Linked DNA regions of Oryzias latipes. The protein of the gene in region 1 purifies or fractionates together with the protein of each later gene. This does not show direct contact. Links are inferred from orthologs where the notes say so. Each region holds a gene or a part of one and is shown on either strand. Other genes may lie near its edges.

Evidence for each region. Proteins that work in one complex are often made in the same cells at the same time.
Region 2: the proteins of mapk4 (region 1) and fastkd5 purify together in Homo sapiens (affinity purification with mass spectrometry; 3 studies listed by BioGRID and IntAct, with this or other methods). This does not show direct contact. The link is inferred for Oryzias latipes from reciprocal best matches to the Homo sapiens genes MAPK4 and FASTKD5.

Annotation. Positions count from the first base shown.
Region 1 is NC_019867.2:9,597,204-9,600,076, forward strand, and holds part of mapk4 (mitogen-activated protein kinase 4), read right to left. Parts: intron 2,503-2,873; coding exon 2,420-2,502; intron 2,278-2,419; coding exon 2,199-2,277; intron 1,984-2,198; coding exon 1,767-1,983; intron 1,385-1,766; coding exon 1,219-1,384; intron 828-1,218; coding exon 1-827. UniProt on the Homo sapiens protein: Atypical MAPK protein. Phosphorylates microtubule-associated protein 2 (MAP2) and MAPKAPK5.
Region 2 is NC_019879.2:23,598,155-23,602,344, forward strand, and holds the start of fastkd5 (FAST kinase domain-containing protein 5, mitochondrial), read left to right. Parts: upstream 1-1,390; 5' UTR 1,391-1,511; intron 1,512-2,072; 5' UTR 2,073-2,080; coding exon 2,081-4,190. UniProt on the Homo sapiens protein: Plays an important role in the processing of non-canonical mitochondrial mRNA precursors.

The DNA.
Region 1 (2,873 bases):
CCATTAGCTTTCTCCTTATTCTGCCGGCATAGTTGGAGTGCCCGAGATATAAAAGCGTCCAGGTCAAGCAGTCGCTCCTTATGCTTAACAGGCAGAGACTCCAAAGAGTCAGCTTTTACTGACGGAGCTAAAGAGGAGGTGGAGGAAGGGGGTTGAGATTCCTTATGTTGAGAGTGGAGAGTGTCGGAAGGTAAAAGTCTTTCAGTTACGTCCGGAGAGAGAAGACCTGTTGGTGATGAGGGGAAAAGGGAGGGAAGATTATTGTAAGAGGATGCTAGAGATGGAAAGAGGCTGAGTTGTTCATCTTCAGCTGATGAATGATCCACAACTTCTGTGTACTGGAAGACGGGTGTTTGGAGATCAGTGGGAGAGAGCGGGAGAGGTGGAGAAGAGGTGTAGCAGGAGCGTTGCTCTGATGAAGGACTGGGACTAGGAGAGTGAAAACGACACTGCGTGCTCTCCACCCAGCGAGAAATTTCTTGAAACAGATTCTCACTCTCCTCCTCATCCTTACTTGCTTCTTCTTCCTTCATTTTCCCCAGGTCTTCCATGCTGCCACCAATGGGCTCAGCAGGCATTGACAGGTTGCTCTTTTTGCACTTCCAGTGAGACAGATCCAGAATCAGCTTAGGCTCGGAGTAATGTTGAGGCTTTCCCTCTCGCCAGGCAATTTTATCGAGATATGAAGGGGAGCCCACTTTGTAGTCGCACGAGCGGCCGCAGTCTAACTCCCCCAAACCGACACCACAAACTCTTTCCAGCGAGGAGTGAGAGTTCTCGAGGAAGCGCTCGGCTGAGCTGCTGTGAGAGTATTTGCGTGGGTCAACCTGTATAAAAAAAGGAAACAAATTAGGAGAATAGGACTGACATTAACTTGAGGTCACGTGATTTGAACCATTTCATAGACTCTAAGTCAGAGGTTGGCAACCTTCAACACTTAAGGAGCCATTCAGGTAAAGTTCTCACTGACAACAATAGGAGCCACAGTCTTATTTCCCCTTTTTAAAAAATAAGACACTTATTTGAACATATGCGATTCTTACTATCATGGTAAATAGAAAAGATTATTTTTTAAATCAATATGAAATACAATATCAGCAAACTAATGCTCCTTTTTGTCTTTCAAAGGATTCACCCTAGCTGCTTTGTTCTTTTCATACGACTGAAACAGGATGCTTCAGTCGGTACAAATCAATAATAGCGAAATAACTTGACAACCTGAGCCTCCTCTGCCAGCGAGCTGAAACTGGCCCGTGGATCTCTGCGCACCTCTTCATTCTCTGAGTTATCTCCCAGATCAGATCGAACTTGACCAGCGGGGATGCAGCGACACCTGTCAGCTGACTGTTGCCAGCACATGCCAGTTGATAAACTGTTGTCATACCTGCAGATGGGAAAGATATTGACATTTCCTTGTAGTACATGTATAGTTATGTATATGTATGCACATATAAAGATATACATACATAGATATACATATTTATCATCGATTTATGTACAATATGTTTTATTTATAATGTAATTTACATAAATAAATACATCTTATAATGTACAGTAAATAAATTTAATGATACTTATACATTGTCTTCTTTTTCTGATGAATTCTAATCAGACCCTATACTTATGTAATAACATGTTGTATTTTTCCGAATGTAATGAAGCAATAATTATGTCAAAATAATAATTCATGGCATTGCTATCAAACACTTTGCTCTGTATAGTATTTATTTAGCAAACCAAGGGAATAAAGAGAACAGAATCTGCACCTATCCCAGTGGATGCTGGAGGTGTGACTGCTGCTGGCGCTTAGGCTCTGCTGTGAGATGAGGCTCTCCAGCTCATCCTCGATGTGAAAGGGATTGGATGAAATGGGTTCATCTTCAGGACAGGAGTACTGCTGAAGGAAAGGGTGGGACAGTGCTGCTTCAGCTGTCAGACGATCCATGGGGTTAAAGGTCAAGATGCGCTCAAGACAGTCCACAGCTGGGAGAACAAAAAGGGGAGATTCCTAAGAATAACTAAAGCTTTTACGTTGTACTCTTTGGCATATTTCAGCATCTCTCTCATCTTTTCATCAGACACAAGTCAGTGTGTCAGAGTTTCTGTATTTTATTTCTTTCAGACTCTTCCAATGCTTTTCTCTGACAGTTCACAGGTTCGCTTCCCCCTTCAAGCTCCCCATAATTCCCCAGGCTCACCCTGAGCATCCACTTCAGGCAGCAATTCTGAGACGGGAGTCTTGACTCTCCATCCATGACTGACATATGAAGGCATGACCTGTGAAAGCAGGATAAAAAAGGTTCTATAAATATATTGTGATTAAATGTCGACTCTAACCCTTTTAATTTACCGGTATTTGATATGATTTAATGTAATGTGATTTTGGAATTGTTTAGCTTTAAGTGTCCTCTGGCGTCACCTGTAATAGCTCTTGTCTGTCTTCCTCCCTCTGCACAGGCACTGTGTTGAGGATCAGCTGCATCTGTTCCAGCTCATGAGCTCCTGTCAGAGGCATTCAAGCAGATGGGGAAAAAATAAATTAAAATATGTGACCATATATAAAAAAATCCCAGTTGATAGACATAACAGTTTACATTTTCAATAAATAAAATCAGAATGTAAACTGCAACAATAGTGTTCAAAATAGAAAAAATACTTTTAGTATAACAAAATTACAGTAGCCACTTGACAGTTTTGCTTAAAGTATCACTATGATATTCATTCACTTAAAACAAGCATTTGTCTATCTTAATACACTGAATTAAATTGCTCTGAAAAAATACGTATTTTAGGCCTGCAAACCATTGAAAAATATATTATTTGACATTACTGAGCAAGTTTGCAGCTTTGCAGCAGCAAATTCCTGACGCAAC
Region 2 (4,190 bases), on another chromosome or scaffold:
TATATATATATATATATATATATATATATATATATATATATATATATATATATATATATATATATATATATATATATATATATTGCATTTACACTGAGTTGATTTTTTATGTAAAAATCAGCATATTTCCCTTATTTTAATTTTGAAATGTTGACTGTTTATGTGCTTCAATTTGAAAGTGTCCGAATACAAAACATTATTTTGAACAAGTAAGTCTTCCATCAGTCCTGAAATCAACGGATTCAGTGGACCCAGCACACAATTTAAGCAACTTGAAAGTGAAGGAAAAACAACCATTTTCACCCCCAAATATTGGACATGTATTTTATTAATAAATCAAACTAGGCTACTTAAAAATTGCATAATTATCATCAAATGTGATTATTTGTCAATCAAGCTTTAGAAAACCATCATGATTAAATAATAATTTTAATAATAAATAATAATAAATTAAAAACATTATAAATGCTTGAGGCATATGTTGGCCCCTATTTATTTATTGTTGTTTAACTAAAATAATGCAAAGAAAATATTCCAAAGACCAGTCTCTTTCTTTACAAGTGATTTTGCTAGTCAAGGCTAATTTAAAAAAAGGGACAAAACTTATTTATAATAAAAAAAAACCCTGTCTACAGATGATCTAATATTTGCATAACATGCCAAACGCTGTCTTAAAATTTTATATATTTTTTAACTTTTCTGTATTTTTTTGTTTGTTTTTGCAAGTGATAGAAACCTAATAAAAAGTCTTTAACGTAAATATTTTTCAAATGTTTTACAGCTGAAGTCATCATGACACCATGAAAAAGTTCTTCATATACAGGTACCACGATTGGTTACTCTGACTCGAACTTTACAACATTTTAGCTTTTTTATGGTTCCAAAATGAAATAACTTGTAGCGCTTCAAACGCATTTATAAATGGAATTGAAAACAACTCAATTCATTCAATAATTAACGGAGGACAAACAATGGTGTAACAGTTTACTTTGCTTTTTCAAACATCACAAAATAAACGGTGAAAATGCAGATGTAATTATGCTTAAACAAAAAAATGAATTGTCTTCACAATGCGTTGTTTAATAATGGCGATTAAACTATAGGGAAATACATTTTAGAGCTATGAACAGTATTAAAAAAAAGACTTCGCGTTTCTAATTTGGACCTTTTTATTACCCGTAGGTCAATACTCCTGACGGATGGCTGTTGTAACCGGAAATGGTTTCCTGCCATAATATAATACCTACGCAACGACTTCAAGTTTTATTAGATCTTTATTGAGGGCCTATTCAGTCATGTACAAACCATTTATCATTCCTTATGACATTATAAAGATTTAGAAACCCCTTTTTAATCTTGAATCAGAATGACAAATCTTTTACAGAGCACTTTTACTTTTATTTTGAAAAGATTGCTGCCCAATTCCGGTGTAATTTCAGACCTCTTCGAACAGTGAAGCATCCGTTGACTTCCATGAGGTTCTTGCTCGTGTCCTCCGTGGACTGTAAAAGGTGAGTTCAACAATAATAATAATACATTAAACTGAACGTTATGACATTCCTATTAGACATTCCTATTTTCTCTTTGACACACAGTAATATTTTTTCACAGACATGAACGAACTTAGGTTTACCCTCTGCTAGCTCAAATCGTTGTCATTAAGTTTAAGTCCTTATTTTTGATTGTTATTTATTTTCAGCTGTGCTAGCTAAGTAGTTGTTTAAATACAATCATTTGACATCATAATACTGCCAATAAAGTTTTACTGAAAACCTCTGAAACATCCCAAGTAGGTCACATGATTAAATACACCAAAAAGGTAGACTTTTGAACATTGGGACTAGCGGTCAAAAATGGCATGCAATTTTATAAAATATTATTAAATAAGTACTTTTAAATTATGCCAAATAATACCAAAGTGCATGGTGTTTTTTCTTATTATTGGCCGCTCTTTTGGATTTTTCTGACAGACAAAAGAGACATTTTTTAAATTCTTTTTGTAATTTAATATAAGAAACATTCCTATTTTCTTCAAATTGCTGTCCTTCAAATTGCTTTCTTTTTCATTTTAGTCTCCCACATGATGGCGGCCCGAGTGCTTTGTCGGCACGGTTGCAGAGTGAACTCTGTCCATGGGTTCAGGAAAAAGTTTTCCCAGGCTGAAGACGTACACCTCAAACTAATAGAGGAGACTGATCATCAGGAGGAGCAGAAAACGTTGTCACGCCAAATCCCTTCTCCATCCCCGTACAGACTGTATTACAATCCTTCATCTTATTACTACCCTTCAAGGGACTCTGCAAATTCCCACAGTCAAACAGATGACCATGAAGAAGAACAAAGGCCATCTGACGTTGTACCGTCTTTCAGGCAACAGAGCAATCGATACAGCGTGAGTTGCTCGCGGCACCTTTCAAGCTCAAATAAACTTCTTGATTTAGCTTTCAATAAGGCCCCTGAAACGGACAAAACGTCAGTGCTGCAAATTCACAAAAAGACAGTAACACCAGATGTTAAAGTAAATCCACGTGCTTTCCTTAAGACTCGACCGGAGTACGCTTCCACGAGTCTTGACCTCACTCAGCGTCCGGATCCGGTTGAATGGGTCGAGGTGCTGCCTGTTCTTCAAAACGTGTCCTTGTTAAAGGGCAGAATGAAACCGTCTGATGTGTCCCAGTTGCTGGCCGAACTCAGCAGGTTGCACGCTGACAAGATGGCGCTGCTGAGAAGCGACCCGCGCTTTCTGACGCTGCTCCGATACTCCGTGAAGCACCTTCGCCTCTTTTCCCTCTCTGAGCTGCTGGAGGTGCTGCGATTGTTTGTGTGGGTGGAGATGCCGTCCTCCCACGCGATTTTTGAGACTTATGAGGAGGAGCTGAGCCAGCGGGCCAAGCAAATGACTTTTCAAGAGCTGTTGTTTGCAGCTGACTTGTGGCGCTGTATTGGAAGGCAGGTGCCTCAGTTCTTAGAGTACCTGTATACTTCAGTCCACCTCCATTTGGGTCAGATCAATGTCCCTGAACTGGTGCACCTGCTTTATATCATAGGTGAAGGGAGACACTGCCCAAAAGACTTGGTTCGCCCGCTAGAGCAGCTTCTTATGCATCATTTACATCTATTGCATCCTGAGGAGGTCGGCACGGTTTGCTTAGGCCTTTTCAAATCCCAAACTTCAGTTTCTGAAAGCGCAGTGACTCGTATTGTTGACAGGGCTCTGTCCTTTGTCAGTGAGATGAGCAACTTTGGGATAGTGAACGTGCTGAAGTACATGCGCTTCAGTTATCTTTTTCACAAGCCATGGCTGGATGCGATGGCGCAGGAGATTCCCCGTCGGAGTCACGGGATGGGCGTTCAAGGGCTGATGCATGTGACATTAACCTGTTCAGCTCTTCATTACCGTAATGATGGAATCCTCTCTGCTGTGGCTGAGAGAATTCCTTCCCTGGCGCCGCATTGCAGAAGTAAAGATTCCTGCAAATTACTGTGGGCCTTTGGCTCTTTGGGGTTTCTCCCAACTCAGAGTCCGGGTTTCTACCCGAGCCTAACGGAAGCCCTGAGGCAGAGGAAAGCTGAGTTTCAGCGGTACCCAGAGCACCTGCTCACAGGTCTACTAGGCTTAGTGTTCATCTCTCAGTTCCCAGAGGACCTGGTTGCATTAGCTTTAAGCCCCGAATTTGTCCACTTAGCATTGAAACGCTCCCAGCTGGAGCTGAAAAAGGACCTGCTGACTTTAGATGGAGCTGTGGCTCTGGAGCTGCCCCAGTGGACCGGCCCACGATTGAGCCGTGAACTCAGGGAGGAGGTGGCAGAAATGCTGTGGACATTTGCACAGTCAGATGTGTGCCAGAAACCTGAAGTAGTCGAGGCTGAAACTGCTCTACAGGATCTGCTGGGGGGAGAGCAGTTTGTGTGTAAGCGGATGATCCTGCCTCACACTCGCTCCATCGACCTGGAAGTACACCTGGACTCCACAGGACAACCTATACCTGTCCTCCCACCATGTTCAGCACATAATCCCGCCTCCCCGGTTCCTTCTCATCAAGACTGGGAGAAGTTAAACACAGGAATAACCATCACGGATGAACTCATCGGACAATTATGTAATTTAAAAACCACTGCACATTCTTCTGCTCAGTCCTCCATAATCAAGCCTCCATCTCTTCAGAGATTTCTTCCTGATGAAGGTGAGA